Notamacropus eugenii: one gene and its partner. The protein of the gene in region 1 interacts with the protein of each later gene in a biochemical or structural test. Links are inferred from orthologs where the notes say so. Each region holds a gene or a part of one and is shown on either strand. Other genes may lie near its edges.

Region 1 (11,154 bases):
TAGAAATTTGACAAACCTGAAGATTTTAATAAAGACAAAAATTCAGTAAAGAGGATTATGTATGAAACCATGCATGTCTCTTGTGTTTCTTTAAAAAGACATTAAATTAAACAGGTCAGTAAAAAAAAAATACCCTTTGCAATGTTCTTCTGCTTTCTTCAGGATATTTTTAAAAGGCTGAATTGAGTCTCTTTTCTTTTGGCAGGTGGAAAGCAGCTAGGTTGCTCAGTGGATAGAGCTCTGGATCTGGAGATAAGAAGAGCTGAATTGGAATCCAGCCTCAGACACTTATTAGCTGCATGACCCCCTGGGTAAATCACCTAACCGCTCTGTGCCTCAGTTTCCTCATCTGTAAAATGGGAATCATAAAGCCCCCATCTCCCAGGGTTATTGTGAGAATCAAATGAGAGAATACGTATAAAGTGCACATCCCTAGCACATAGGAGGCATCTCGTAAATACTTATTTCCTTCTTTTTGTTCTTGGATCACTTTCCCCTAACCTCCCCCAGCCCAAACAAAAGCTTTCTCCTGTAACTCAAACCTAGAGACACTGGTTTTGTCTGTCAGGGCTGGTTGTCCAACAAAGTCTCTGCCGTAGAGGGGAAGCAGCTCGGCTCTTTTGGGGGTGCCCATCTTGTTTACATTGAACAAGAGGACAGATGTAGGAAGATATCTCTCAGATGGAACCAGACAATTACACACTTCTCTTTTTCCAGAGGAAGGAAGGGAAGCCCAGAGACAGTCAGGATTTTGTCCAAGGTCACAAAGTCAAGGAGGAGAGTCTGGGTCCCCAGGTTCCCAGCCTGGAGCTCTGGGCAGAATGCCATAGGATGCCCCTGCTTGTTAAAGGGCAACAAGGTCTTGGGCCAAAGGCAATCTGGAAGTGGGCACTGAATGTCTGAGGTTTTGGCTGCTGCCGAGGCCCAGCGGCTAAGCTGACTGAAAGGCTGACCGAGGCAGGGATGGGCAAGGGCCACGGGATTAGTCAGGAGTCTGAGAATGCACTAAATAGCCCAAGGGAAGCAGGGCAGACAGTTCTCTCATTCTCTCTGAAACACTTGTTCGATATAGAGCGTGACAGTCTGTCAAGGCTGGATGACTAGTTATCTGGCATTAGAACATCTTGGTCTGGAAAACGGGGGAGGGGGAGGAGGATAAGGATGCATTGGAAGAGCTCAGGAAAAAGAATCCTTTGAAAAGATGAGAGCTAATGAATGAATAAATGAGGAATGAATGAATGACTGATTGAATGAAGGCAAACACACCAGTGAAGCCCTTATGTGCCAGGTAGGGTATGTTAAGATCAAGGGATGCAAAGTCAGACCAAAAAAAAAAAAAAAAAGAAAAAGCAGTTCTTGCTTTAAAAGCTTGCTTTGGAATGAGGGAGGACAGGAGACTTTGGTCTAAGGTGTCCCAAGAATGGAATGAATGAATCATAGGGCAACTGACTGACAGGCTCCTTCCGGAGGGATGAAAGAGCTGATCTGATTGTTGTGCCCAGAGCAAGATGTCCTAGGGGAAAGGAGGGGATGAAATAAAGTGATCAACAGGATGGCCCAGGAGAAGCTGGGTCTGGGGAGATTGGGGGGGGGGGGGGGTATTGGATGGAGTGGGATCTTCCAACTGGGCCTGGCTCCTGCTGGGCATGGTCTCTGGAGGCCCCATTGAGGGGGGGACATAGCAACAGGGAGATATGGCTTCCTGGGGAAGGAATCACAGAATGGACTTTGAAAAACCCTCGTCTCACTTTGTTTGAGCACTCCTCAGGCATCACCCCTGTTCTGCTTTGCTATGTGTGCTATCCCCAAGGATTCCATCCTGGCTCTTCTCTCCTTTGGCACACATTCTTCCACAGAGATCTCATTATCCTTATGCAGATGACAGCCAGGTCTATATAGTCAGCTCACGTGTCTCTCCTGAACCCCAGTCCACATCTCCAACTGCCAGCCAAACATCCCTGCCTGAACATCCCACAGGCAGCTCAAACACATGTCCAGAACAGAACCCAGGTCCTTCACCAGAAATGCTGAAAATCATGAGAGACAGCAGCGGTTTGTGTTTACTAATTTGGACTAAACTCCCCAGTGTCTTGAGAAGGAAAGATGTGCATATCCAAGGAAGACAAGTTCATTTAGCTCCAGTCTGGGAGAGGGAAGGTCTCTACCTGTGTGTCTGTGTTTTCTTTTAAAACCCCCTTTAACTCGCAACCCAATTTTCTCTCAACCCAATAGTCTGAATAATTTTTAAAAAATATAATCCAAAACCTCATTTAGCATCTAAAAGACTTGGAAAGTTTATTTTTAATTGGGGGCTGAATCATTCATGATTAGTGACCTCATCATTGCAAATCTAATGACTTTTTCTCAGTCCTCATCCTTCCTGACCTCTCTGACCTCTGAACCTTTGAATATTGTGTTGGGAACCTGTGGATTGGAGAAGAGGCAATGCATTTCTGATGGCCTTGTTGAGGAAAGGCTGGAGTCATTGACTGACCGGCGCAGGGCTGTATGGGCTTCTTGCGCTGCAGTGCCATATAAAGGTGAAGGAGAAACCTCTCCAAGGTGCCTTCATGGCTCTGGTTGGAGAACAAGAAACAGAGAGATGCATTTTGCATCTTGTGGTGACCTGGGCTTCTCTGTGAGAAAAGGCTTGGAGATTATTGGATGAAGCAGAAACCCCTGAAAGTGGAAGTTCACAGAGGGTTTGTCACTACAACAAAGCAACACTTTCTCCAGGGAGAGTGCTTCATTTGCTTGAAAATACAAGAGCAGCTTTGTTTAGCGAGAGAGCATGGAGGACCAGAAGCGGAGAAATGGATCCACCACTGCAGATTGTTGCTACATAGACCAAGGACCTGAACAGGTAACAACCTGCAGTCCCAGACTTGTGGGGTTTCCTTATGTGTTTCCCTGTTAGGTTTCCGTAAGTACAGGTCCTGTCCTGCCCCTCCCCACCCTCTGTCGGCCTGCACCCATAGGTGGGAGACTGTCATATTTTACTTATTCTTCTTCATGCCTTCTGTTGAACAGATGATATGATGATTATTGCTTTTGCCTTGTTTAGTAAATGCTTTAGGTTTAAGGTTTGATGTGGCAAAAGTGGGAAGCCCTCTGGTGTGGATTCAGTACCCACTGTGGCCACTAGGAAGAGTGGACCCTTCCCCAGCCCACTCTACCCCCCACACACCAAGGATGTCCCTGGACTCTGAGAAAGTCTGGAGTTGTGTCAATGCAGTGTACACTGCTAGCATGGGTGCAGGTTTGGTGAGCCAGCCAGCCAGGGCACAGACCACCCAGACATGTAAATAGCAGCACAGGGCTAAGGTGACTTCACATTATTTAACAATCCCAGAAGAGTCCTTCCTTTTTCAGGAGATGTGTCTCCTAGTCAGTTCTCCCCAGGGCTGCTACATAATCTTCTGAGGAGATCCTTCTCGCTCTACTCCTACCCTGCTCAAAAAGCTTCAGTGTTTTCCTGTCACCAACAGTGGTTTTCTCACTACTCCTAGCAGCAACACTGTGCTTTTCTATGTTCCCATCACTTAGCCCATGGTACAAGTTGCATTTATTCACTCATCTCCCATGTCTGTGCTTTGCCTTGACTGCCCCCCATGCCTGGCATATGTTTCCTCCCCCACTCTCCTCTGTTTCATAAAACTACTTGATTCATCCAAGACTCAGTCCAAGCACTGCCTTCTATACCTGGCCTTTCCTGATCCCCCATGGCTACTGCCATCCTTCCCCAAACCCCATTGTATTTATTCTGTGTTTACTTATGTGACCACAGTGTGTCCTTCCTTCTTGAGAACTGGACTTGTTCTTTGAGGGGTGCTCAAAGATAGAGACAGGAGCCTCTATCCATCACCTTCGGCAGCATGTTGAGGAAAGACAGATCTGGGAAATGGACCATTGGCTTTTTCGGGGAATGCTAGGCATCCAGTTCTCTTCATACATCATATTTTTCATCTCACAATGTGCTGGGTTGATCATTCTTCTTTGTTATTGACAGGGGCATGAGTAGCAGGAAGAGAAGCATTGCTTTCAGCCTCTTTACTCAAAGGTGCCTAAAGAAGCAGGAGTCCATTCCAATCTGCCCACATTCTGAACCCAAAAGCAGTCTGGCCTGGCATGCCTGCCCCACAGGACTGTCGGGTAGGGACTGAAAGCAAGACAGACTCCTCATTGTATTATGAGAGTAAGAAAGGGAGTTACAGTCATTTGTAATGAGCTACATTTCATTTAGGGTAAACATTTTGTTCTGGGATGTAAATGAGAAGCTTTTGAATAGAGCAAGGACCAGCTCCAGGGAAATGAATTGACTATTAGCCAAGGCGTTAATGGTCACAGAAGCAGGGACACCATGTGCTCAGGAGCACGTGGTGGTCAGGAGGGAGATGAGGTAGCCACACACAATTCCTCCTCAACCCAGAAGCTCCCAACATTCTGTTCCACTTGAAAGTCACCAGGGAAGAGAGGAAAGATGAGAAAGGGATGATTCTTCCCTAAGCCAGTTAAGTTCCTTTTCTGTCATTAATACTTCCAGCTTTGCAGTCAACCAGAAAACCCTTCAGACTCTTTGTTAGTTACCTCCCAAAGGTGGCTCCTCAAGACTCTGTATGATGGGATGAAGCAGGGTCTGGGATCTTGTGCTTGCTCAGAGGACTAGACACTCATTGGGAAGACTCTCATTACATATAAAACTAGTGACTGAGATCGAGAGAGAACTGATGTACAAAAATGTACACACACATAGACCTTAGGCCATTCATTCCAGTACAGCACAAAAACTCATTCTCTAGCCTGTTTTCTTCCTTGCAAAATGGAAGCAAAAGACCTGCTCTGTCTCTACAAAAGTTTGATTATGCAGAAAGCATGTATACAAGGCCCTTTGTTTTGCACATCATGCAGAATGACTCCGACAGTTGATGGCCTGGTCTAGGATTATGTCAGATTCACCATTTAAACCAGCCTCCCAGCTGCTAATGCCATCCTCTCCCTGAAGTTGCCTGAAATTTATTTTGTTCATATTTGTGTACCTGTTGCATCCTAGTGGAGTGTAAGCTTCCTGAGAGCAGACTGAATCACAAAACATCGTGTTTCTAGATCTAAGCACATAGTAGGTCCTTACTGGAGGCAGAAAACCTGGGCTTGAATCCTGGCTTTCCAGCTTATGTCTTGGGAGGCATCGGTTCGGATCAGCCTCTCTGGCCCTCAGTTTCTCCCTCCTGCTCTTTTGACTGGAGGGGTTGTCATGATGTAATGGCTACAGCCCTAGATTTAAGAGGGTGCAAGGTCGGGTCTCGGATCCTTATTAGCGATGTCTGAGCGGCCACAAGCTGTCCGAACCCTCGTTTCCTCATCCCTAAAGAGGGCAGAAGGGCAGTACCTGCCTCCGAGGGGTGGGAAGGATCAGATGAGAAGCAGGCAAAGCGCTTTGCTCTGTATAAATTAGCCAGCAAGCACGTTCGGCACTGAGCTGAGCCTGGGAATTCCAAGGAGGGCAAAGGCCAGCCCCGACCTTGAGGAGCTGATACCCTAATGGGGGGGGGGGGGGGCCGGACCATACGCAGCTAAGCTCTAGACAGGGCGTTGGGCGCCCCAGCTCCCGCTGACTTGCCCCAGGTCGGGTCATTGATTCAGGATGGAGCAGAACGAGGACAGGAAGGCCTTTTCTTTACCTTCAAGACTCCTTCCATTCTCAAAGATGGAAGGGAACGAAGAAGAGGGCGAGGAAAGTCTGGTGTGGGGTACTGGGAGCCGCAGGGCGGGGAGGAGGGAGGGATGCCCGGGGCTGGGGGGCGCAGAACCTCCGGAGCCGTGGAGGGCTCCTAGCACCGCCAGGTGCGGCTCTGGCTCTCTGGACCAGTCCTGGGTAAGCCCTGCCACTCTCTGCGCTCCCGCAAGCCTGGTGCCCCCTCCCCCCCGCGCCTGGCACTGCCCCCAGGCCTTTCGTGACCCCCAGTGAGTGGGGGGCGTCGCTGGCGCTCGGGGATCTCTCGGCCCGCTTCCTGCAGCTCCCTGCACCCCAAGCCCTCCCGTAAGCGTTGGCGTCAGGGGCAGTCCCGGCCCGGGGCCGCAAGGGCTGGACCTCCGAGGTGGGGCGCCGGGCAGGAGCCAGGACCGCGGCCAGCCCAGGGAGCTCAAGGTCAAGGGGAAGGGCGCAAAAGAGGAAGCCGTCCGGGGAGAGTGGGAGCTCCCGGAGCCCGGTGGGGACCACCTGCCCGGAGCCGGGCCGACGCCGTTGGGCGACGTCGGGGCAAGGAAGGAGGTGATCCTCTGGCCCCGCCCCTGGAACGCTCCTCCCCCCAAAGCCCCGCCTCTTGGCCCCTCCCATCCTCCAGGAGGCGGCCCGTCTCCTTTCTGTCCTCCAGGGTTAACCCCTCCAGGGTTAAACCCCGCCTCCCCAGAGAGGTAGCCTTCTCCATTCGGCCCGGCTTGGACGGCTCCGCCCTCAGGTTTAAGCTCCGCCCCCTCCCTCCGAGAGGCCATTCACTCATTCCCCTGGGGCCCCGCCCTCCAGCGTTAAGACCCGCCTCCTCAGAGAGACGGCCCTCCCTGTATGGCTCCTCTCTCAGGATTAAGCTCCGCCTCTCCTCCTCTGAGAAGCGGTTCTCCTCTTTCGCTCATTCCTCCTTGGCTCCGCCTCCCAGGCTTAAGTCCCGCCTCCCCGGTGAGAAGACTCTCCTCATTCGTTCCTCCTGGGACGACTTCTCCCAGATTTAAGCTCCGCCCCCCCAATCTCTCCCATCCTTGGGGAGGTGGCTCTCCATTCGCCCCTTCACGGATGGCTCGTCCCTCCTGGTTCAGCCCCGCCCCCTAAACCGCTCCCATCCTCGAGGAGGGGGTCCTCGCCCTTCTCCTCCTTCCCCGCCCCTTAGGGCCCAAAGCCCGCCTCCCCGGAGAGGCAGCTCTCTCCATTCGCCCGTTTCCCGGAGGGCCCCGCCCTCTCCTTCCCGTCAGCTCTCGCGGCCGCGGCCGTTGCTTCCCTCGGCGTCCTCGCTTCCGCGGCCGCGGCCGCTGATTGGCCCCGGGCGGGCGGAAGTGGGGGTGGGCGCTGGCCCGGTTGCCGCAGTGACCGTGCGGAGGGAGTGGGGAGATGGCGGCGTCGCGTCGCTCTCAGCATCACCACCACAACCACCACGGGGGCCACCACCCGCCGCCGCCGCCGCCACCACCGCTGCCGCCGCCGCTGCCGCTGCCGCTGCTGCCGCCGGGCCCCGCCGGAGCGGCCCCCCCGCCGCCGCCGCCGCCCTCGCTGAGCCCCGGGCCCGCGTCCCCCGCGGCCTCCCCGCGCCACGGAGGCCTCTCGGCGCCTCCCGACGCGGACGGGCCCGGGCCCGGGGGCGGCGGCGGGGGCGGGCCGGGGCCTGAGCGGCCGCGCTCCCCCGAGCCCGCCGACAGCGCCGGCCCGGCCTCGGCCTCTGCTCCGGGGCCCGGGCCCTGCCCCTGCCCCGCGTCCTGCCCGGCCGCCGCCGCCGCCTCTGCCGCCTCGGTGTCCTCGTGCTCCTCGTCGGCCTCCTCGTCGTCCTCGTCCTCGTCCTCCTCGGCCTCCTCGGCCTCGTCGTCCCCCGGCTCGCTGGGGCCCAGCCCCTCGGACAGCCCCCCGGAGGCGGGCCCGGGCCCGGGGCCGGCCGTGAGCGGCGCCCTGCGCGAGCTGCTGGAGGCCTGCCGCAACGGGGACGTGGCCCGGGTGCGGAGGCTCGTGGACGCGGCCAACGTGAACGCCAAGGACCTGGCCGGCCGCAAGTCGTCCCCGCTGCACTTCGCGGCCGGTGAGGAGGAGGAGGGGGAGGGGCGGGCGGGCCGGCGGCGTAGACAGAGGCGCCTATTGAGGTCACGGGCCGGGCGGATCGGAACCTCCCCGGTGCCGCTGCGGCCTCCGCTCCCTGGGTTGTAGCCACGTGGGGGGGCTCCCGCGGCCGGGAGCGGGGATGCCCCGAAGCTGGGGGCTTGGGCAGCCCTTGCAGAGGCTTGCGGACCCCCTCCCAGGTCGGTCCTGGAGCGCCGCCGGGTGGGTGTCAGCGCGCTCCTGCACCCCTGCTGTGCCGCCGCTTCTCTGAGCGCTTCTTGGGCGCTTGCTGAGGTTACCCCGCCGGGGCAGTCTGCCGTGCCAGTGCACTCTTTCCTGCTCAGTGCCAGAAGCGTGGAGGACGTGGTGTAGACCAGGGTTCCCACGGCTAGGGAAGGGGCTGGCACCCTGCTGGGGGCCTGGGGCTGCAGAGAGAAAAGGGGAGGGTGCCTGCCAGCGGGAAGCCCAGCGGGTTGTGAGGGGACTGAAGCAGGAGAGATGCGGATTTGACTCTTGTTCCCTGAGAAAGGTGAGACGGAAGGGCAGGCGTCTGGGGGGCTGTAGTAGGACAAATGCCTGGAGAGCGTAATGCTTGGTTTGGGGTTTGGCTGGATGGGGGCTGAGCATCCACTCAGCCCACAGTATTGGAGGGGAGGGGGTGTGGGGTGTAAGGGCTGTTGTTGCTAGTGGGGATAGGCACACAGTGGCAGAGAAGGCGGCAAGGTGCCCATGTGGCGAGGCCCTGGGATGAAGCAATGTTGGGGTGTGTGGTCTGGGGCTGGCTCGATGGAGGGCTGAAGTAAGAATTGACTCACCTTCCATTCTTGGCAGCTCCCTGCGGACCAAACCTGAGTGTAAGTTCTCACATACCGGGCTGCATTAACAGGCAGGAGCCACTCCCTGATGGTTTTGGAGCATGGTAGTTACATGGACAGACCTGGGCAGTTTTGTGGAAGATGGGAAATGGATTGGGAGGATCTGAGAGTAGCCCAGGTCAGCCGTGATGAGAGTCAGAACTGGGGTAATGGAAATCGGAGTGAGAGAAAGAGATTGTAGAGACAAGATATGACAAGTCATTGATTACGGACAGTGAGGCAGTGGGGAGGGTCAGGAACTACCGAGGTCATTTACCTTTGTGACTAGGAGTTTGGATGGTAGTGCCCTTAGAGGATGGGGAAAGTGTGCTGAAGTTGGGTTCTAGAGGGGAGATGCTGACAGAACAGTCTTGTGGAAATATCCCACAGGAGTTTGTTCAGGAGACAGATAAGGATGGGTGTATGTGTGTGACATTGTAGCGATGGTAACTACCAATGGGAGTGATTTTGGAGTTTTAGGGAAAGGTTGGGAAGTGCAGGAGTGAGGTAGAGTCTGTCAGAGAGCAGTATGAGGATGGGGAGGTTGAGATAAGATACTGTGACTCTGTGTTGCATCTGGCAGCTTTTGTTGACTTCCCTAGGCAGTGTTCAGCAGCTCTAGGAGCCAGAACAGGAGGCCATGGTGGAAGTGAGGTGTGAACACTGTGTCTTGTTATGATGAACTATAGACTGAGAAGGAGGAGGGAGGGGCGATAGACTGTGGTGAAGACAGTTCAGGAGAGATGAGGCAGAGCAAGTGTTTGATGCCAGTCAGGAGAGGGATGTCAGCTTTCCAGATCCTAGAAGTGTTTCTGGATGACAGTGAGAGCACTTTGAGGTCTGACCACCTCTGTGAGTGACAAGGGGAATGAAGGAAGCTATGTGGAGGGTATAGGAGTTAAGATGGATCCAAGAAGCTGAAAGTGCCTGGGGAGGTAAAGCCTTTAAGTAATAAGAGGGTAGAGGCTGGGACCCAGACCATCTACTGAACATCTTGCAAAGGAGAGCGTGTGATCTTCGGAATCTTCCTAAGACAATTCAAATGGAAATGAATCTGTCTCCTGGCTTGGCCCTGATAGACTGTCCAGGTTTCATGGGCATACAACAGTGAGGTCAGCACATGGCTCTGTAGGCTGTCAGTTTGGTAGGCAGTTTGAATACCTCTCTTCTCTCACATTTTCTTTTGGACTCTCCCAGTCTCTGAGTTAGCTCTGGCAATGGATGCCTCAGCTTCATTCATGTGGACATCCCTGGAAAGTAGACTGCCAAAGTAATTGAATTAATCTCCAGCATTCTAAATTTCTCCATTTGCTGTAACTGATGGTTCCATGAGAGCATTGTCCATTATCCAGAACCTTGGCAAGCCTGCCATTATGAAATTGATGTACAATACTGATGAACTTCTGGCAACCAGATTTCTCCATGATCCTTCCTGGACCCTCACAACTGACAGTATCAAAGGTCTTGGTTAGGTCAAATGCACATTGTTTCTAGGCTTCTCTCTTCTGCCCCTGGCTTTTCTTCTGGGCAGCAGATACCATGTCTGCCAAGCTTTGGTCCTTTCTGAAGCCACACTGGCCCTTGGGTAGATGACCGTCTTCCAGGTGAAGGATCAGTCAGGTGAACAGTCTTGCCCCCTCTCAGGATAACCTATTGCCTTTTTCCAGAACTCATGAGAGAGACTAGGGCTAGCTGGAGAGGAACTGGTAGGAGTCACGGTTTCCTAAATCCGGAGCCAGAAAGAGACCTGAAAAGATCTGATTGATCAACTGTCCAGTCACAGGAAACTGGGGCCTCCGCATTAAAGTGACCATGGCCAAGGCCAGTCAGGTAAATAGGCATCAGCATTATTTGCATAGAGAAGATAATTAAGCCCTGAAGCATTCTAGACTTTACCTGGGGGAGTAGAAGAGATGGAGGAAGAAGAGGGCCTTGGGGAATATTCCCAGTTAAGGCAGATGGCACCGATGATGATTCAGCAGAGACAGGGGCTATTGTACCACGGAAATAGGGAGGAGAATCAAGACTAGAGAGGAGAGAGTAACCCGACGAAAAGTTGATCAGCAGTGCAGTTGATCAGCAGTGCGGAGGGCTTCGGAAAAGGCCAGAAGCAGGAGGACTGGCCTTTGTTTATTGGTGACTTTGGAAAGGGCAGTGAGGAGGTTGGAAGCCAGATTGGTACAAATTACTCAAGATGGCCTAATAGGAGAATTGCTTGGTAGGTCAGTGAATAAATCAGGTGGTGATTAGATTAGAGCCAGGAGAGAAGGATAGAAATAAATGAGTACATTTAGATGGGAAGTTGCAGTCTATAAAGTTCCCTCGGGATGGGTGGTATCCTCATTTTGCAATAACTTTTATTATTTGTTTCCATAACCTTCCTTTAAACCCCTTCCTTTTCTCCACTGCATCCAGCCTGCTGGTCATAGGAGTTCAGTGGTTTAGTAGCAGAGCAGATGAATGATGTTTTCAGTGCCAGGCTTGGAGATGTCCATAGACTTGTTGGCCTTT
Region 2 (10,478 bases), on another chromosome or scaffold:
TTTTTATTGCATTATTATCCGAAAAGGATGTATTTACTATTTCTGCCTTTCTGCATTCAGTTGTGATGTTTTTATGTCCTAATACATGGTCAATTGTTGTGTAGGTGCCATGTATTGCTGAGAAAAAGGTATTTTCCTTTCTATTTCCATTCTCCAGAGATCTATCATATCTAACTTTTCCAGAATTTTATTCACCTCCTTAACTTTTCTTGTTTATTTTTTGGTTAGATTTATTTAGTTCTGAGATGGGAAAGTTGAGGTCCCCCACTTAGTATAGTTTTATTATCTATTTCCTCCTGTAACTCATTCAACTTCTTCAAAAATTTAGATGCTATACCATTTGGTGTATATATTTAATATTAATATGACTTCATTGTCTGTGGTACCTTTCAGTAAGATATAGTTTCCTTTTTTATCTCTTTTAATTATACCTATTTTTGATTTTGTGTTTTTCTGAGATCATGATTGCTACTTCTGCTTTCTTTGCTTCAGCTGAAGCAGAATAGATTCTGCTCCAATTCCTTACTTTTACCCTGTGTATATCTGTCTGCTTCATATGTGTTTCTTGTAAATAACATATTGTAGGATTCTGATTTTTAATTCATTCTACTATCCACTTTCATTTTACGGGAGAGTTCATCCCATTCGCATTTATAGTTATGATGACTAACTGTATATTTCCATCCATGCTATTTTTCACTTGTTAATTCCCATCTCTCTTTTACACTTCACCCTTCCCTCTTCACAAGTGTTTTATTTCTGATCACCACCCCAATATACCCCCTTTTTTATCAGTCCTCCCCTCCCCCTTCTATTATCTCTGTCCCTTTTTACTTCCTTATAGGGTAAGATAGATTTCTATATCCAACTAAATGCGTGTTATTCCCTTTTTGAGCCAGTTTTGATGAGCGTAAGGTTTAAGCTTTGCTGGCCATTCTTTTTCCTCCCCCCCTACCTCCCCACCCCTACCCCAATCTACCCCTCCATTATAATAGCTCTTTCATGCCTCTTTTATGGGAGATAATTTATCCCATTCAGTCTCCTCCTTCCTTCTTCCAGTGCAATTTTCTTTCTCACTCCTTTATTTTGTTTTCTTTTGGGGGAGTATCATCCCATCAAAATCACCTTCTATCCACCCCCTCTCTCTACATATGCTCCTTACTTAAAGATATTAAGAGTTACAAATATTATCTTGACATATAGAAAAATAAACAGCTTAACCTTAGTGAATTTCTTTTGTTTTCTCTTTCTTGTTTACCTTTTTATGTTTCCCTTGAGTCTTGTATTTGGAGGTTAAATTTTTTATTCAGCTCTCATATTTTAATTAGAAATGCTTGAAAGTCCTCTATTTTTTTTAATATCCATTTTTCCCCTGGAAAGATTATATTCAATTTTGCTGGGTAGGTGATTATTGGTTATAATCCTAAGTACTTTGCCTTCTGGTATATCATATTCTAAGCCCTCCAGTTCTTTAATGTGAAAGCCACCAAATCCTATGTAATTCTGACTGTAGCTCCACAATATTTGTATTGTTTCTTTATGGCTGCTTGCAATACTTTCCCCTTGATCTGTGAACTCAAGTATTTGACTATGATGTTCCTGGGAATTTTCATTTTGGGATCTCTTTCAGGCAATCATTGGTGGATTCTTTCAATTTTTGTTTTGCTCTCTGGTTGGTCTAGGGCAGTTTTGTTTGATAAATTCTTGAAAGATGTTGTCCTGGCTTTTTTTTTTGATCATGGCTTTCAGTTGATCTAGTAATTTTTATATTATCTCTCCTGGATCTATTTTCTAGGTCATTTGTTTTTCCAGTGAGAAATTATACATTTTCTTCTATTTTTCTTTTACTTTTTTGATTTTGTGTTATTGTATCTTGATGTCTCATAGAATCATTAGTTTCAACTTGTTCAGTTCTAATTTTTAAGGAATTTTTTTCTTCAGTGAACTTTTGTACTTCCTTTTCCATTTGACCAATTCTGTTCCTTAGGGAGTTATTTTCCTCAGTAAATTTTTGTATATTTTTTCCCATTCTATTGACTCTTCTTTTCATGATTCTTTTGCATTACTCTCATTCCTTTCCCCAATTTTTCTTCTGCTTCTCTAATTTGCTTTTTAAAAATCTCTTTTAAACTTTTCCAGGAATTCTCTTCGGGCCTGAGACCAAATTACATTTTCCTTTGAGTCTTCACACATAGCGATTTTGACACTATGTCCTTTTCTAAGTTTATGTCTTGATCATTCCTATCACCATAATACTTTTCTATTTTCAAGCTCTTTTTTGTTTTTAACTCATTTTTTCTTGTTGCCTCTCCCCACCCCACCCCTCACCACACTTTTTCTGTGACTTGGTGTTTTTATGTGAGAGTTGTCCTCTGGTTCTGCACTGTCCCAAGGTTTTTGCACTAGGGCTCTAGGTTTTACTCTTGGCTTTCACTGGGCTTCAGGGCTTAGAAGATGCTTGTCTTTCCTGGAACGTAGGCTTCCCTTATGGCTTTCACTAGGAGGTAGGCCTTCCTTGTTGACCAAGTGTGGAATTTAGCTGCTGGCCTGCCCCAGGGGTGGGGTCCTATTGCTGGGTTGCTATTGAAACAGGGTCTCTCTGCTGGTAGGCCCCTGGGACAGGGTCTCAGTGTTAGGCAGCCCCAGGGTAGGGCTTCAGTACTGGTCAGCAATGGGGTCAAGGCCTGGCTGGTGGCTTGTGCTTTGGGGGATAGGGCTGTGCTTCTCAGTATAGACTGCTTAACTTGCCTGGGGGGCTGCTGACTTGCAGGAGGGTGGAGCCTCCTAGGTAGATTTGCTGCAGGTCTCCTTCTGTGAGGCTGGCTGCTGCTGCTACTGTTCTTAGACCTCGCTCCGCTCCCACCCCAGTGAGACAGACCTTTCCTGCTGTGCTGGTAAGCTTCTTTCCTGCTCCTGGGTCAATTCTGAGGTGGTTTTCTAGTTGTTTCGAGGGGAATTTGGGAGGACTTCAGATGGTTCCTTCCTCACTCTGCACTAAGTCTGTAGATGTCTTAAGATTCCATGCTGAGGAAGTTTGTGTTTCTCTTAGAGGCAAGAGAGTTGTTAAAGATTTTTGAGAAGAGATATGTGAGCCATGGCCTTTATTTTAGGAATTTTGGTTTGACAACTCTGTTGAGGATGGATTTGAGAGGGGAGAGTTTGGAAGCTTTGAGATCAATTAGGAGGCTTTTGCCATAGTCCACGTGAGGGGTAATGAGAATCTGAATTAGGGTGATGATCTTGTGAAGTGTGAGAAGGGGACTGATGGCAGAGATGTTATGAAGGCAGTATTAACAACTGATAGGGTATGGGGATTGAGGGAGAGGGAGGACTCAAGGATCATACCAGTGGTATCAGTCTTGGATGACTGAAGTGACAGGGAAGTTTAGAGGGATGTATTTTAGGAAAATGAGCATCTCGTTTTAGGTAGAGATGTCCTGTAGATAACAGAATATGTAGCATTGGAACCTGGAAGAGACATCAATTCTAGATACATAGATTTGAGAAACTGCAACAAGATGATAATTGATCCCATGGGAGTTGATCAGGACATTAAATAGATAGAAAGAACAGAGCCCACTTAATGGGCAAAGAAGGTGATGATGATCTAGCAAAAGAGTTTGAAATGAACTATTTAGAATTCTAGAAGGAGAACTAAAAGAAAACTGTGTCAGGAGCCAGTGGCATAGTGGATAGCGTACTCAATTTGGCATCAGAAAGACCTGGGTTCTAACCCTACTTTAGATACTTGATGACTTCCACCCTGGGCAAGTCACTTACCTTCTCTGTGTGGCTATTTCCTCTTCTCTAAAATAAAGCTGGACTAGCTGCCCACTCAGGACTAGCTGCCTGCTCAGTTCCTTTCCAGCTCTAATTCTATGATCCCAGGTAATTCAAGGGAGGAGAGAAGGAAAGGGGAAGAAAGGGATTGTCAGGTCCAAAGCTTCAGAGAGATCAAGTAGAATGAGGACTGAGAAAAGGCCCTAGATCTAGTAGATATCCTTGGTAAGAGCAGTTTATTGAGGGCTGGGGTCAGAAGTAGAAATGCAAGGTACTCAGAACTGAGTGGGAAGGGAGGAAATGGATATAGGGAGTTTATCTTGGAAAAGGAGAAGAGAAGTTGGTCTGTAGCTTAATAGGTATGGATGGATAGCTTGAGGGGAAGTAGTTATCAAATGAAGGTTTGTGTGTGTGTGGTTTTGTTTATTTTGTTCTGTTTTTAGGATGTGTGAAACCTGGATCTTTTAGTAGGAACAACTCAGTGGATAAGGAGATACTGAAGGTGCGAGGGAGAGGGAGCAGTCACTTCTGGAGGATATGGTGACAAGACTACAAGTTGCAGGGTTATCTGCAACTGGGACAAAAGAAAAGATAACGGGGGATAAAGAAGAAAAGGGATTTCGGGGTATGGAGGAGAGAAGAGGAAGCTTAGGATGGATGCCCTTTCTTCTCTCCACCTTTCCAGTTCATCTCCGGGCCTCTGCTAACGTTCCTGGCCATCTTTCCTTGCCGCCCTTCTCCTCCTCTGCCTTCCCTCCAGTGTCTTCCTTTCCTTCTCATCTCCCCCCTTTTCTTTCTTTCCCTCCTTCACCTTCTCCTTCCCTTTCCCTCTCATCTCCCCCCCTTTTCTTTCTTTCCCTCCTTCACCTTCTCTTTCCCTTTCCCTCATATTAGGACTCGTAGTGGAAGAGACCATTGAGGTGCATTTCACAGCTGAGCAGACGGAGGAGCGGTGACCTGAAGGGACCCTGCCCAGGTTACCAGGCTCGCTGGAGCTTTGCAGAAGCTCGTCTCTTCTGCACAGCCGCACTCCCTCTCCTTTTCCCCTTCCTTCCACCTCCCGCCGCGTTCCTTCAGCCCCTCCTCCCACTACTGGAGCTCCTCCCTCGTCTCTCCCTCCCTCCCCCGCCGCACACTTGCCCCGCCCCCAGTGCGCGTCCCCTCTCGGGGCCCCGCCCCGGCCCCCGCCCCCGCCCGGGGCCTCCCCCGCAATTCTCGGCGGCGCCGAGGGTGGCGCTCTGGGCTCGAGCTGAAGCTCGCTGGGCTCGGGGGCTCGGGCTCCCGGCTCGGGCGGCAGGAACCGCGGCAGGAGCAGCCACAGCGGGCAGGGGCCGCCTCCGCGGGGCCGGGGCCGGGGCCGCAGCCGGAGCGCCGGAGGAGGGGCCCGGAGTACGGGCCTGGCACGGGGAGCGGAGGCGGCGGAGGCAGAAGCCAGAGCGCGGGCGGGGCAGGAGCGGGCCGGGCCGGGCCGGGCGGTCGGCGCAGCCCGGGCTCTGCTCGGGCTCGGCTCCGGCTCCGCGCCCCAGCCCGCTGACCTCGCTCCACGGGCCTCCTTCCCCGTCCCGGAGGCAGCCGCCGCCGCCATGGGGAGCGCCCGGGGCCGCGCCCCCGCCCCGTCCCGCCCGCCTGGTCTCCTCTGAGCCGCATGGGCCGGGCCGCCCGCCCGCCCCGGGACCGGGACCCGCCGCCGCCGCCGCGCGGGTGAGTGGGGAGCCAGGCCGGGCCGGGCCGGGGCCGCGCATTCCTGAGGGGGGAGGCCGGGCAGGGGCCGCGGGGCGCGGGGCAGGCCCGGACCCGGAGCGGAGCCCGCCGGCCCAGGAGCCGGGCCCATTGTAGGGAGCTCGGTGGCCGCAGGGGAGGTCGGGGCCCCGCGCTAGGCCCGGCCCGGCTGGAGGGAGCGCGAGTCCCAGGGAGGGAAAGAGAGGGAGGAGGGGAGCTGGGGAGAGGAAGAGAGGAGGGACCTGGGGTCTGGGGGTGTCTGGGAGGGAGAACCTGGGGTCTGGAGGTGTCTGGAAGGGGGAACCTGGGGTCTGGGGGTGTCTGAGCGGAGAGGGGAGGGGGGACCTGGGGTCTGGGGGTGTTTGGGGAGAAGAGAAGGGAGGGGAGACCTGGGGGTCTGGGGGTGTCTGAGAGGAGGAGAGGGGAGAGGGTACTAGGGGTCTGGGGGTGTCTGAAAAGAGAGGGAAGGGAAGACCTGGGGGTGTCTGAGAGGAGGGGGAGACCTGGGAATGTCTGAGAAGAGGAAAGAGGGGAGACCTGGGGGTATCAGGGACGGGGAGAGGGGAGGAGGGACCTGGGGGGTGTCGGAGAGGAGGAGTGGGGGAGGGGGGGGTATCTGGAGTCTAGGGGTATCTGAGAGAAGAGGGAAGGGGATACCTGGGGGTATGGGGGTGTCTGAGGGAAAGAAAGGGGAGGAGATGTAGGGGTGCTTGAGAGGAGAAGGAAGGGTACCGGAGGGAGGGAGAGGGAGGAGAAAGGAGGGGGAACCAGGAAGTGCCTGAGAGGAGAGGAAAGGGGGGGACCTGGGGCATGCCTGAGAAGTCGGAATAGGGCACCTGCATATGCCTGAGAGTGATGAGGAGACCTGGAAACGTTTAAGGATAGAAAATGAAATTTGGGAGTGTCAGGAGACGGGGATGCTGAGGCCAAAGAGCAGCACAGGACTTGCTTACGAGTTTGTAAGGTCAGGATGTCATAGAGGTGTAGGTGGTGTGAGAAGGCTGAATGATGATTCTGGAGGTGAGTATGAAAATGTAGGATAGAAAGGGAGAGAATGTGGCAGAGGCCAAAGCAGTTTATGAAGTATAGCTAGTTGTGTGTATGTAAAATAGGATAGAGGAATTTACATGTGGAGGGCTATTTGAGCAGAAGGCTTTGAATTCACCCACTGCCCAACCTTGTCCTCTGCGCCCCCCCTACAAAAATAAAATTTCCAGAGTGAGGAAAATCTCTAGTTGTGAAGGGGGAGAGATGGTGGAATGTATCTGCATTTAAATGTAGAGAAATGTGAAGAAGAGGGGGTCCAAATAAGGAAATCTGAGGATAGAGTAGAGCCGGTGTCCAATTGGAGTCAGTCCCATAGGTGTGTGTGTGGGGGAGGATTGAAGAAGACAAGTGAGAAGAGGATACCTAATGTGAGGCAAGTTGGAGATTTGTAGAATGATTGTTAGAATCCCAGAATTAGACCTAAAGGAGGGATATTAAGAGATTGTGGCATAGAAATAACCCCAAATTGGAGCAGAAATACTGTTGTTTTTCTGTACAACGTGTAGTACTAGATGTGGTTTGACCTCAGAATTCAGGGGTTGCCCCTTGCTTCTGTAACCTTCCAAGACAACAGGTAACAAACCTAACTTTGTAGCCACGGACTAAACCTCACCTAGCGTGATTTTTTTCTTTAGGAGTCCCACTCCCAGCCTGCCGTCTCACCCCCTCTGCCCCTCCCCCCCCAGGAAACCTTAGGAATATGCAGTCTCAAAACCAGTGTTAGAGGGAGTCAGTAAAACTTTAACTTCTGAAGAAAAAAGAGTAAATACATCAATACTTCAGCGGTTTCATTCAGCCCAAATCTAAAATATTTTTACAAAGGGTTTTTATTGTGGAGATTAGCTTTTTTTTTTGGGGGGGGGGGGGGCTGCACAATAAGGTTCTGTGCTTCTCCCTGCAGGAAGTATTTCAAGTTCACTTGGATCCACAGGCCCTTCTACAGGAGTTCACCTGTAGTCTGGTTGGGTGGGAAACTGTATCTGACCTGAAACAATGTGTAAGAATAGCTCAGTTCCAATTCTAAGAAATTCAGCTGAGGGAAAAGGTTAGGATGTCACTTAAAAGACCATGTTCCTGTTTGATTTTCAGTAGCTTTGAATTGTCATCCCTTGCTCTGGTTTGAAATATGTTCTTGGGCTTTTTCTGTGGTGGGAGAATCAAGTTAGTGATCATATCACTTTTTAAAGAGTCCAGACACCTGGTACTCAGGAAAGGAGCTTATGCAATCCTTAAATTATAAAGGCATATCAGACTTTTAAAAGCACATTCCTTTCAAGGGAGAACTTTGTTGTTGGAGGTTACAGGCTCTGAGCCAGATTGCATATCTGTGGTTACTTTATTCTAGCATGAATTAATTTTACTGCATTTATTTATTTATTGAATGAGTGAGTGAGTGGACTTTGTATTGATTTACTTCTGTGTTGGAGACCTGAGAATCAAAGAATAGTGTTTTACCAGTCTACAGATTTGGTGGGGAGTGTTTTCCTTTTGGTACTTGTAGAGACAGCAAGGGTCTCCTGCCTTGTGTTAATTGACAACCCTTGTAAGTGGAAAGAATCTGAAATATTTCATTTGTGTGGAGAAAGATAAGTTTAACATGATCATAGAATGTTAGAGCAGAAAAAGAAGAGGAGGGTGATCTAGTCAAACTCCTTCTTTTGACAAATGAGGAAACTGAAGCCCCAAGTGGTTAAGTACTTTGCCCAAGGTCACGCAGTTCATTAGTGGCAAAACCAGGTTACAACCTAGGTCTTCTGATTCCTAGTCTAGTGTTCCTTCCATTATCCCATATTTGTTTTGGTGTATTTGATAAACACTTGATTCCTGTATTGATGTTGTAACAGTTTCAGCTTTGTAATGAAACATTTGATGGTAATTTTGTTACCATTTCCATAATATAGTTGAAGAAAGTTATGAGATCTTTAATAAAGAGGAATGTCCAAAGTTAAACATTTAGAAATTTCACTTAAAACAAATAATTTGACAAATATTTGTTGAAACTCTGCTTTATGCAAAGCACTGATATATTGTAAATTAATAAGATTTATTGAGGACCTTTTAAATTCACCGTGCTGTGGAGCACAAGTAGAAAACAAATACAAAACAAGATATGCTCAGATTAAATTGCAAGACAAGCTTTAGAAAGAACTGTAGAAAAGCAATATGTATAGTAGAAAAAACACTGAAATAGAAGTTGGGAAGTTTGGGATTCTAAGCTCTTTTGCTCCCTCTTTGTGTTATGTTGGGCAAGTCACTTCTCTTTTTTTGGTCCTCATTTTCCTGATTTGTAAGGTAGAGATAATAATCTTGTCACTACCTACCTCACAGGGTTGTTGTGAGGATCAAATAAGATAATAGATATTAAACACATAACTACAAAATGCTATTGTAAATTACCTATCAGTAGTCATGTATTGCAGAAGGTGTTGTGGGACAGCATACAATCATCAAACATTTTAGGGAGTAATTTAGCAATTACGCTTTTATTGTTCAGGCATTTCTTGAGGATTGCAGCACTTCTAGTATATTCTAATTCATGGGTGGCTAATTGCCTTGGCCCTCTTGCACAAGATGGCATTGTGGACAATAGTACATTACATATTGATAGCCCAGTGAAATCTTTTGCACATAGGTGCTCAGTAAATGTGAACTGGTTGAAAAAATTAATTTTCAATTGAAGTGGTCTCTGAGCAGCTGGATACCAAAACATGGAGAGATTTGACCTTAAGAAATTGGCTTTTCCTGCTGAGATGGAGATTATAGCACAGCCAATCATTTTTTAGAAATCATTAGCAGCAGAAATGCCATTTGGGTCATATAATTGTGACCTAAGTCACATTTATCAGTGGCACTCACTCCTAGCCATCTGTGAGTGCCCTGTTCTGTATCTCAGGCAAACAAAATGATGCCTTCATAAATATAGATTTCCATGGAGAGCCATGCAAATGGGTGAAAGAAGCAGAAGAAGAGACAACATAGTATTGTGGAAAGAGCATTGGACTTGGTTGTAATCTTGGTTCTAACTTTTTGACTTAAGACAAATTTCATTATTTTTCTTGTGTCACTTTTTTCATGTATCAAATGGGGATTAATAATACTTGTACTTACTACCTCATAGGGGTGTTGTGAGGAAAAGGATTTATAAACTGTAAAGTATGATAACTTTGTACATATACTAATTTTCTTTAGGTCAACCTTGACTTTTAAAGGTTCTGGCCATGGTTCATTTGCAAAGCTGCTTGAGATCTGCTTTATAAAGCAATGATCTCTCTTTCAGCACTTGACCCACTTTAAATGTCAAAAATATGTGGTCAGACCACATGGGAATTTTACAAGTCATCAACCCAGTATTTGGCTCAGCACCAGAGTAGGTGGCACTGGTGGACTTGGGCTTAACTAGATCTCTCATGAGTGGATCAGGGAAGTACTTAGATCTTAAAAGAATTTGTTAGCCACCTGCAAATAGCTACAGCTAGGAGACTGCCTGAGCGGGAGTCTTTTTTTAGCATCTTGGTCTATAAAAGCTAATCAGCTATTTAGAAATACCTTGTTATAAATCTGATATTGATATGATAATTTGGTTATCAGAATCCAGAATTAGATCTCAGCTAGTAGCCATATCTTAATTTTACTTCAATGACTTTTTTTACCTTGTTGGAATTCTTCAGATTTCTTAGGTTGCTGACAGTGTGCTTTTCTGGTAAGAAGGATATTAAAAAGTGACTCCTTTCTTTTCCGTGTTCCCTACCAGCAGCAGTTTTGGGTAGGTCACAAGTTATCACGCATTCCTTTTTTTTTTTTAAGCTTAATGAAACTTCTTACTGTAACTTAGAAGTTTTGTAAGTAATTCTAAGCAAAATTTATATGGTATATAGAAAATGTATGTATTTGAGAGTGTTACTGGCAAAGAATATTAAGCTTTATCTTAAAAA

What was found.
Region 2: the proteins of TNKS (region 1) and AXIN1 form a complex in vitro, tested with the Homo sapiens proteins (2 studies listed by BioGRID). The link is inferred for Notamacropus eugenii from reciprocal best matches to the Homo sapiens genes TNKS and AXIN1.

The regions. Positions count from the first base shown.
Region 1 is NC_092878.1:168,033,103-168,044,256, reverse strand, and holds the start of TNKS (poly [ADP-ribose] polymerase tankyrase-1), read left to right. Parts: upstream 1-7,061; 5' UTR 7,062-7,096; coding exon 7,097-7,772; intron 7,773-7,948; exon of another isoform or gene 7,949-8,318; intron 8,319-11,154.
Region 2 is NC_092872.1:54,635,913-54,646,390, forward strand, and holds the start of AXIN1 (axin-1), read left to right. Parts: upstream 1-5,352; 5' UTR 5,353-5,481; intron 5,482-10,214; exon of another isoform or gene 10,215-10,309; intron 10,310-10,478. UniProt on the Homo sapiens protein: Component of the beta-catenin destruction complex required for regulating CTNNB1 levels through phosphorylation and ubiquitination, and modulating Wnt-signaling.